Linked DNA regions of Tribolium castaneum. The protein of the gene in region 1 purifies or fractionates together with the protein of each later gene. This does not show direct contact. Links are inferred from orthologs where the notes say so. Each region holds a gene or a part of one and is shown in the gene's direction. Other genes may lie near its edges.

The links. The genes of interacting proteins can lie anywhere in the genome.
Region 2: the proteins of Cdk7 (region 1) and Cdc37 purify together in Homo sapiens (affinity purification with mass spectrometry; 3 studies listed by BioGRID and IntAct, counting the BioPlex papers as one, with this or other methods). This does not show direct contact. The link is inferred for Tribolium castaneum from reciprocal best matches to the Homo sapiens genes CDK7 and CDC37.
Region 3: the proteins of Cdk7 (region 1) and Xpd purify together in Homo sapiens (affinity purification with mass spectrometry; 10 studies listed by BioGRID and IntAct, counting the BioPlex papers as one, with this or other methods). This does not show direct contact. The link is inferred for Tribolium castaneum from reciprocal best matches to the Homo sapiens genes CDK7 and ERCC2.

The regions. Positions count from the first base shown.
Region 1 is NC_087394.1:10,696,180-10,699,141, reverse strand, and holds Cdk7 (cyclin-dependent kinase 7), read left to right. Parts: upstream 1-1,220; 5' UTR 1,221-1,408; coding exon 1,409-2,425; 3' UTR 2,426-2,462; downstream 2,463-2,962. UniProt on the Homo sapiens protein: Serine/threonine kinase involved in cell cycle control and in RNA polymerase II-mediated RNA transcription. Cyclin-dependent kinases (CDKs) are activated by the binding to a cyclin and mediate the progression through the cell cycle.
Region 2 is NC_087398.1:2,272,901-2,276,213, forward strand, and holds Cdc37 (hsp90 co-chaperone Cdc37), read left to right. Parts: upstream 1-1,312; 5' UTR 1,313-1,439; coding exon 1,440-1,472; intron 1,473-1,519; coding exon 1,520-1,810; intron 1,811-1,857; coding exon 1,858-2,136; intron 2,137-2,211; coding exon 2,212-2,700; 3' UTR 2,701-2,813; downstream 2,814-3,313. Other genes in the region: queuosine 5'-phosphate N-glycosylase/hydrolase, read left to right, coding at 1-53, 107-1,003; Spase25 (signal peptidase complex subunit 2), read left to right, coding at 3,130-3,165, 3,258-3,313. UniProt on the Homo sapiens protein: Co-chaperone that binds to numerous kinases and promotes their interaction with the Hsp90 complex, resulting in stabilization and promotion of their activity. Inhibits HSP90AA1 ATPase activity.
Region 3 is NC_087394.1:27,625,936-27,629,995, forward strand, and holds the start of Xpd (general transcription and DNA repair factor IIH helicase subunit XPD), read left to right. Parts: upstream 1-1,260; 5' UTR 1,261-1,439; coding exon 1,440-1,444; intron 1,445-1,495; coding exon 1,496-1,595; intron 1,596-1,640; coding exon 1,641-1,895; intron 1,896-1,943; coding exon 1,944-2,177; intron 2,178-2,224; coding exon 2,225-2,445; intron 2,446-2,495; coding exon 2,496-2,629; intron 2,630-3,546; coding exon 3,547-4,060. Other genes in the region: Tbce (tubulin-specific chaperone E), read left to right, coding at 1-412, 462-747, 794-1,095. UniProt on the Homo sapiens protein: ATP-dependent 5'-3' DNA helicase. Component of the general transcription and DNA repair factor IIH (TFIIH) core complex, not absolutely essential for minimal transcription in vitro.

The DNA.
Region 1 (2,962 bases):
GGAAAATTAAATAATACCTGAATCGTAGAAGATAATTCACCACAACTTTGTTCCTTAGAACTGTTTTTTCTAACTACACCGCTAATAATGCCACATTAACTAATGAACAAAAATCAGCTTTTCATACAAAAATTCTCATGAAAAAGGAAGCCTCTACTGTAAAAAACTTATTTATCGAAGAAAACAACAATTATATGTTATGAAGATTGGTTAGCAGTTTTCAGTAGAGCAAGTTCTAAATTCTTCTTTACACTTAGTTAGAAATAATTAAGGGGTTGCATTCCTAAACATTTTTCCCTTTACATTCGAAACTGAGAAATTCTTATTTCTTGCCTTTAAGTTTTTCAGGTTTTACTAAGATAATTTTACCACAAAAAAACAAAAGTTGTTTGGGCTTAATCTACATTTACTTGACGATATTTTAAAGCAAATACAATGTTTAACTATTAGTTTATCACAGAAACAACGAATATATTTTCAAAACTTTTAGTGAATATATTAAAAAAACAAGACGTGATAGACAAATGTGAGATATATTTTAGTTATTACGTTATTAGTGAGTGAGAAGAAAACAAAATCAGTATAAATTATTTCTTGGTAAAAGAAAAAATTTTTTGTAAACTAGTTTAATTATCATAACTAATCATAGGACCGGTTTATAAAAACGTCATTAATTTAATCAGTTATAAAATGCGTGATTAACTGATTACGTGACCAAATTGAAGTCATTTGGTTGGTTCATTCGCGTTGTTAACTTTTAACAACGAATTCAATTTTAACAGAGCCTTTTATAAACCGGCCCATAAATTTAAAAAAATTAATAATATTTGAGAGTTTAAAGCAGCGAAACCGCTTTAAACACAAATCTAGCTTTTTAGAAAGCAAATTTTTTTAAAATAAGATGAAATGTTGCACATTACGTGGTTTTGCTTTGTGTATTTAAGAATGTTTCTTAATAAAAAAAAATGTTGTTTAAACAGACTCTCATTGTTGGGTTTTCTATAGTTTTTTTGTCAGAAACAAGCATATTAATATTGATATTTTACACGAAATAGTCAAAAAAGGTTCAAATTAGACGTAATTCTTTTCTATTACACATTTTTGTTACCGATTTACTTTCTAAAAAAAGAACAGTTATTAATAGTAGGTTGACCACAATTATGGTGCTGTATATGTGGTTGCATACCAAATTAATTTTTTTTATCAAATTCATTTTTAATTACTTAGTTATCCGACTTTTTCATTCCTGTTTGAAAACTTCCACTGCAACTTCATTCTTTGTTTGTTTGATCATTGTATTTATTTAAAATTTCTCATTTTTGAACCCTCGAAATTCCGAAGGTTGGTAGCTTTGGCTTTCAACCCCTCATAACCTCAAACCGGCAATTTTCAAAATAATGTGATAAAAATGTCGAATAAACTAACCCGTTACGAAAAAATCGAGTTTCTGGGCGAGGGCCAATTCGCCACGGTGTACAAAGCCCGCGATGTAGAGACCGACAACATCGTCGCAGTGAAAAAAATCAAAATGGGGAGTCGTCAAGAGGCCCAAGACGGCATCAACCGAACAGCCCTTCGCGAAATCAAACTCTTACAAGAACTGCACCACCGCAACGTAATCGGCCTCTTGGACGTCTTCGGACACATGTCCAACGTGTCCCTTGTGTTTGATTTCATGGACACGGATTTGGAAGTTATAATAAAAGACAACACGATTATTTTAACAACTGGCAACATAAAAGCCTACATTATTCAAACGCTGCAAGGGCTGGACTACTTGCACCGAAACTGGGTCCTTCACCGGGACCTCAAGCCCAACAACCTTCTGGTGAACTCCAACGGCGTGCTCAAAATCGGCGATTTCGGGCTTGCGAAGCTCTACGGCTCCCCAAACCGCATCAACACGCACCAGGTGGTCACCAGGTGGTACAGGTGCCCCGAGCTGCTCTTCGGGGCAAAGTTGTACAGCACGGGGGTGGACATGTGGGCTGTGGGGTGCATCCTCGCGGAGCTCCTCCTGCGAGTGCCCTTGTTTCCTGGCGAGTCGGACCTGGACCAGCTGACCAAAATTTTCGCAGTTTTTGGAAATCCGACCGAGGAGAATTGGCCGGGGCTGAAGAGTTTGTCCGATTACGTCGAATTTAAGCCGTTTACGCCGATTCCGTTGAAGAATATTTTCACAGCCGCCGGTGATGATCTGCTTGATGTCTTGGAGGGGCTTTTGGTGTTGAATCCGTTGAAGCGGTTCGAGTGCAGCAAGTGTTTGGCGATGCCGTTTTTCAGTAATAAACCGGCGCCGACGCCGGGATCCAAGTTGCCGTTGCCTCAAAACATCAGAAAAACTGAAGTGGAAAGGCCTACTTTGAAGAGGAAGCTGCTGGATGCGGTGGAGGGAGGGTCGCTATCTAAACGATTGTTTTTCTAATTTTTTTGTAAATAAATTATTTTTTAGTAAATAAGAATTCAGTTATTAAAAAAAGTTATGCGTTGTTAAGGGGGAGAATACCTACTCTAAAAAGCGTCGAATTTCATCTATTTTCCTCGCTGTTTTACAGCCCTTCTTAGTAACGTTTTTGAAAGTTATATATTCTTCTACTCTGGCTATAGGAGAGAAACTGTTTTAAATGCTGTCAGTGCTTTATTTAATTCAGAAAAAAAACCTGAAAATTGACAAAAATTTGGTGTTTTTTGAACATTATTTCCCTTTGATATAGAGTCTTAAAGAGAAAATGAACTACTATTGGCCCTCCCTGTAATGGACTGTCAGGAATAAAGTGGCTTTTGTTTTAACTCGAAAATATGAATCGTTAACTTGTAAAACTCTTAAAATGAATTATACTGAAAAAGACGTTTTTACGAAAATTTTTGAAAAGCTTAAAATTTACATCGTCATATTTTCCTTCTGGATTAAGCTAGAAACTTCTTTTTTTTGCTGAAACTCTGGCCCGCTTACGTAGAGTAC
Region 2 (3,313 bases), on another chromosome or scaffold:
TTAGCAAAAACGTGAAAATCAAAGACGAAGGTGTGAAAAAACTGGGGGATTTGGTAAGTCCGTGCGTATCAGGCGAAAAAAGGCACATTTTAACTGTTATCTCCAGTTGGTTAGCGAGATCGAAAGCGGGAAATTGTCCAGTGAGAAGTTCAGTCAAGTGAAACTGCACCCAAAATCCGACGATCCCAAAGCCCTTGACTGGTTATTTGTCGTGGACACTCTGAATTTTTGCTTCTGGCACTTAGAAACCGAAGCTGGCTGGACTGTGGAGGGCTACACTGGTTATTTTGCCCTTTGTGCGGCTATTAATCGAGCCGTGAAGGAAAAAGTGGATATTTTGAACTCGAAATACTACTCTGAAGTGTCCGAAAAAGACCTTGCGAAAATATTCAGAAGCGACAACGATGTCCCAATTCCACTCCTCCAGGAACGCGTCAAATGCTTGCACGAAGTTGGGAACGTCCTTCTTGAAACTTTCGACGGTTCGTTTGAAAATTGCGTGAAAAAGGCTGACAAGAGCGCTGTGGCCCTTCTGGACCTAATCGTCAACAATTTCAAGTGCTTCAAGGACGAAGCGACTTACAAAGACAAGAAAATTGCGATTTACAAGCGGGCGCAGATTTTAATTGGCGACATTTGGGCCTGTTTCAAGAACGAAGGACTTGGGCACTTTAAAGATATCGATGAAATAACAATGTTTGCGGATTATAGAATCCCACAATCTCTCCTATATTTCGGGGTGTTTGAGTACAGCGAAGATTTGAAGAAGAAACTGCAAGACAACAAAATTCTCGAAAACGGGGAAGAGGACGAAGTGGAGATCAGAGCTTGCTCCATCCATGCGGTCGAGCTGCTAAAAGAACATGCCAATAAAAAACTAACTGATACGAAAATCAATGCCATTTTGATCGATCACTTCTTGTGGGACTTCAGACGCGAACATAACAAGGAAATCGTGGAGAAGAAGTTGCCGTTCCACAAAACGTTCTCCATTTATTACTAAATCGAACGACAATATCAAGTTAAAATTGGAGTTGACCGAATCAATGTGCTAATTTATTAGTAATTAATCGAAAATTTCAGGGAGCGGTTGGCCATGAAACTTTGATATGGCATTTTGGTGGTAGTCATGGTTACAATTGTTACAAACCGAACCGTACTTTTTCATTGCCAACTATGCTGTCATGTTTTATTTCATATCAGTAATTTTTAAGATTAATCGTGTCAATGTTTTTAAAGTTAAAGTATTAGATTATGATTGAAAGAATATTCTGGAATTTTATTTGCCCTCGTCTCCCTACCCATGATCCTCTGCCGACGTTTCGCGAAAGCCAGCCAGAGGGCGGAGGAGCAGCAAAGTGACGTTTGTTGTTTATTTCAAAAGTGCAAGTGTTTTATTGTTGTATTTTCTTGGAGGAATCAAAATTCGCATTGGCGTCATGGTCGATTACAGCAAGTGGAAGAATATTGAGGTAGTGAAGTCTGGGAGGAAAAAATGAGGTTAGGTGGTGCTTTGCAGATTTCCGACGATGAGGATGAGACGCATCCAAATATTGACACCCCTTCACTTTTCCGGTGGAGGCACCAGGCCAGAGTTGAGCGCATGGAAGAAATGAAGAAAGAAGCGGAAGAAATCCAGATAAAGAGGGAGGAAAATGCTAAGAAGGTCTCGCAAGCCAAGCAGAAGCTGGCGGAAGCCGAGAAGGCCGGAGATGCGAATTTGAGGGAACTTAAGGACGCTCTGGCCGCGCTGGAGAAGGAAATGGAAGCGATTAAGAAGAAACAGGAAGAACACGAGAAGAAAGAAAAAGTTTGTACGAATGTTAGTTCTTCTAATGTTTATTTAGTGATTTACAGATGGCCCCGTGGAATGTGGACACAATTAGTCAGCCAGGTTTTGCAAAGACTGTTATTAATAAGAAAGCTCCGAGACCGAAGGACGAACAATTAACGGATGAAGAGAAGGAAAGTCGCATGAAAAATTTTGTAAAAGAAAACGAGAAGAATTTGAAGCACTTTGGAATGTTGCGACGTTATGAAGACTCTCGGGCTTTTCTCAGGGACCACCTTGAATTGGTTTGCGAAGACACAGCTAATTACCTCGTCATCTGGTGCATCAATTTAGAAATGGAAGAGGTAAGATTGTGGCAAAAAATGTATATTGGCAACACTGAGTTGTTGGGGTAAATTATGTATTGTTCTTTTAATTAGAAACATGACCTTATGGAGCACGTGGCGCACCAGACCATCTGCATGCAGTACATCCTAGAACTAGCCAAACAATTAGACTACGACCCTCGCGGCTGCGTGGACCCCTTTTTCTCCAAAATCCAAATAGCTGATCCTCTTTACAAAAAATCGTTTGACGATGAATTAGACCAGTTTAAGGAGAGGATCAGACGACGCGCAGCTGAGAAGATTGAAGAGGCCATAAAAGAAGCAGAGGAGGAGGAGAGGAAAGCGAGGATAGGGCCAGGAGGGTTAGATCAGCTTGAAGTCTTGGAAAGTCTTCCCGAGAATTTACGAAAATGTTTCGAGACGCAAGACATCCAAATGTTGCAAGACACAATCAAGGAAATGGATGAAGAAGAGGCCAACTATCACATGAAGAGGTGTGTTGCTGCGGGTCTTTGGATACCTGATGCCAAAAAGAAGGAAGAAGAAGAAGCTGGGCCTTCTGATGAGCAGTCAAAACCCTAAAGTCACTTGCTTTACAATTTTTGTTATTTAGCCTTTATTTCCTAAGAATGCAAATTTATTGTATTAATTTATTAGGAATGCTTGAAGATTAATAAATTTCTTTACTTTATAAACTTGACGTAAACTTTCTTATACCCATCCCAATTCCCGCATTTTCTCTCACTGACTTAAATTAATCATCCACTTGAAAAAAATAATAGCCAAACGAATTTACAGTTTCAGTGGCAGATATAACAATCAACGTTATTTAAAAAAAATATTTGGTAAAACCCGTTCTTTTGAAAAAGCGTAGTTACTTTTGTTCACCGATGTTGGTGTATTTTCGCGTTTCCCATATTTCGTGTTCTGACGCATCACTTGACGTGTCGCAACAACAAGACACGACAACACCACATAAAAAATTGAAAATTTAACCAGTCAGTTAAGATTATGGCCCCAAAAGAAAGCAAAGAAAAGGATGATAAGGTACAGTTTAAATGAATGAACACGTAATTTGCACGCTTGTTATTTAAATACGGAAAAAATTGTAAATTTGGCTTCATAACCTATTGTTGCAGCCTGTTAAAATAAATAAATGGGACGGTTCAGCTGTGAAAAATGCCATAGACGATGC
Region 3 (4,060 bases), about 17 Mb from region 1:
GAGGCTTTTTTGGCTGAATGTTAGTGAGAATTTGCTGGACTTGCCAACGATTAGTGAGAGTTTTCCAAACGTGACAACTCTGATTTGTGGGTGTATGGACTTGGACTGGGGGCACATTTGCCAACTTGGACGCATTTTCCCGTCAGTTGAAGAGTTCAGAGCTCCGAATAACAAAATCCGGGGGCTTAGCACACCTGAGGGGTTTTTCACCAAATTAAAGTTGCTCGATCTTGAAGGGAATAACATTGAGTTTTGGACGGAGGTCTGCAAATTGGGGGATTTACCGCACTTGGAGCAACTTATTCTGGAGAATATTGGGCTCCAGTTGATTGAGTTTGAGGGTGATTCCCCCAAAGTACAAGCTTTCAGAGCGATGAAAAAATTATGTGTTGTGAAAAACTTGATCCGTGAGGTAAGACTGAAACTTTGTTCGTTTCCGTTCATGAGAGGATTGATTTTAGTGGCGTTCTGTGGCTGAGTTAAATCGGCTTGAAAGTTTAGAAAATCTGCGATTTTCCAAAAACCCCATCACAGAATCGGAAGAACCTGACACTATCCATCAAATAATAATCGCAAAAATTGCCAACTTGAAAATTTTAAATGGGGTTGAGATTGAAGCCACTGAGAGACGGGGGGCTGAATACGACTACATGAAAAAGTACGGTCTTGAATGGTTGGACGCCAAGGGTACCAACAAAGAGGCTGATTTTCTCAAAACCCACAACAGATATTTGGAATTGATACAAAGTCTGTTTATATTTTTTTTGTTACGTTTTTACGGTTATTTTTGCAGAATATGGCGAGCTGGAAGAGAGTGAACTTGTCTCAAAACCGAAAATTATTAAAAATACGTTGGTCCAATTAAGTATAGTTTTTGAGGACTTTACGGTAGAAAAGAAAGTGCCTCTCACAATGACTGTGCAAAAACTTATAGTCCTCACACAGAAAATGTTCAGCTTGAGTGGAAGGCCCCACTTGATTTACGCCAGCAAGAGCGATCCAGAAATCGAGATTCTTCTAGAGGATGAAATGAAAGAAATCGGAGTTTACTCAATGCAAAATGGTGATAAAATTATCGTGAAAGACAAAGTGTGATTGATTTTGTGTTGTACAAAACCATTAATTTATTCAATAAAGTTTTTAATAAATATTTTCCAAATAAAAAGGTGTTTTCTTCTTGAATACTTGAATACATTACATAACCCTACTTATTATAGAATCTTTGAATAACTGATAGAATACGTGGTTCCAGCTCACAGGACTTAAATTTTTAGGCCCCCTTCTTCCTTACTAATCGATTAGCAGCAATAGAAACGTTCCTATTGTTAGAAAATATTACAAAAAATTGCATAACCGCACTTTTTTCCAAACATGCCATAACCTAAAAAAACTACCGGGTCAATGTAAACACCACGGTTTCACCCAGCACCATACAAAAAATGAAGTAAGAACCCGACTATTGGCACTTGAGTTGCCTCAAAACCGAAAATTTTAGACTAAACGTCGATGGCTTAATCGTGTACTTCCCCTATGACTACATCTACCCCGAGCAGTATGCCTACATGTGCGAGCTCAAGCGGGCCCTGGACGCCAAAGTACGCTCCCCGCCTTTCACAGCCCCTTTTTTATGTTAATTTTAGGGCCACTGCCTTTTGGAAATGCCCTCAGGGACGGGTAAGACCACCACCATTCTCTCCCTCGTTGTTGCATACATGCTCGAGCACCCCCATGACGTCCGCAAGTTGATCTACTGCTCTCGTACTGTCCCCGAAATCGAGAAAGTTATGGAAGAATTGAAAAAACTGCTCGAGTATTATGAGAAGTTGGACGGGGAGTACCCCCATCTCCTGGGGCTGGTTTTGTCCTCACGGAAGAATCTATGTATTCACCCGGAAGTAGGTGATTTGGGGGTGCATAACCGGGCTTGATTTTGCAAATTTCAGGTGAGTACTGAGCGCGAGGGTAAGATTGTGGACGGAAAATGCCACGCACTAACGGCGAGTTACATAAGGGAGAGGCACAATTACGATGATACAACTCCCATTTGTCAGTATTACGAAGGTTTCGCTTTGGATGGCAAAGAAAGTACGATGCCGTTTGGGGTTTACAGTATAGATGATTTGAAACAGTACGGACGGGACCGCAACTGGTGCCCCTATTTCCTGTCTCGTTTTGTGGTACTTGAGGTCACACTTTACATTGCACTTCTGACCCTTTTTCCTAGATAAGTTACGCGAATATCGTAGTCTACAGTTACCACTATTTACTAGACCCCAAGATCGCCGAAGTCGTCTCCAAAGAGCTGACACGAGAGTCAGTTGTTATTTTCGATGAGGCTCACAATATCGATAATGTTTGCATCGACTCAATGAGTGTGAAAATCAACAAACGAATTATCGATCGAGCTTCCGCCAACATCCAGTTATTGGAACGTACTGTGGCCGAGTAAATCCCCGGAAGTTTAAGTTTTCTCTGGATTTTTTAAAATTTTTTAGGATGCGTGAAGACGATCACAAAAAATTGCAAGAAGAATATCAGAGATTAGTTGAGGGGCTGCGCGACGCTAGCGTGGCGCGAGACACTGACGTCATTTTGGCCAATCCGGTCTTGCCCGACGCCATCCTCCAGGGTAATACCCGAATTAGATTTATATATTCCGTGACGTTGAAATTAAGTTGGCAACACTGAGTGATATAGACACAGCTTAATGCGTTGACAAAAATGAAGAAATTTAGTGATTTTTAGCCAAAAAACTTTGTACTTAACAGCTTGAGAATTTAAAAAATAACACTGTTTTCAAAGTTTGATAATTTTTAACTTATTTTTAGCAAAATTTCACTCGAAAACGAGGTCATTCGAATGAAACAAACTCAATAGTATAATTTTCGATTTGTGTATAATTTTTAAACATGTTTAACAAAGTTAAAAAACTAAACAGATCTGACCTGACCTGACCTGACAATAAATAAATAAAATAGGTAGCATCAATTGCGATATATTTTCCTGGATTTTCATCCTTTTTTCAACGAATTTTTTTGGAGGAAAACCTTGTTTTTTTCTCATAAACCTGGTAAACACTCGGTAAAGCCAAATTTGGTTGACCTAATTCAGTCGAATATTTTTCAACGAAACAATCTTCAACGAAATAACTGTTTCTAAATAAAAACACATGAAAAAAGCAAAAAATAATGTCATTTTCGATTAAATAAGAATCTTTTTTCTGCTGAAATCTCTCAAAAGTAAACTTATTTGCTTATTTTTTGTCTTATTTTTGAGGGCATTATTCGAAATCATTGAACTTCAGGCTAAAACAACCATACAAAATGCTCGGAAAATGCAAAAATAATCGCATTTTCGATGATATTTTGTGATTTGTCCGCCTGGTTTAGTAATGCTTTGAGAAGAATTTTGTAGCTCAAAAATGCACTTAAATGCTAGACAGAGGCAAAAATATTGCCATTTCCGAATTAATTTTTTGGGCTGATTGTTATTTATTATGTCAGTAATTCGAAAAAAAATTAAATTGCGTAATTTATTAATTTTCAGAGGCCGTCCCTGGAAATATTCGCAACGCCGAGCACTTTGTCAGTTTCCTGAAACGTTTCCTCGAATACCTCAAAACTCGGCTGCGAGTCCAGCACGTGGTGCAAGAAAGCCCTGCTGGATTTTTAAAAGACGTCCAATCCAAAGTCTGTATTGAACGAAAACCGTTACGTTTCTGTGCTGAACGCTTGGCATCTCTGTTGAGAACTTTGGAAATATCAGACTTGACCGACTTCAGTCCGGTCATTTTAGTCACACATTTGGCCACTTTGGTGGCCACTTATACGAAAGGTTTTACGATAATCGTAGAACCGTTTGATGATAAGACACCGACGGTGTCAAACCCGATCTTACATTTCAGTTGTTTGGATTCGTCGATTGCCATAAAACCGGTTTTTGATCGGTTTCAAACCGTGGTTATAACCTCTGGAACCCTATCCCCTCTAGATATGTACCCCAAGATTTTGAACTTCCATCCTGTGATCATGTCTTCGTTCACTATGACGTTGGCCAGGCC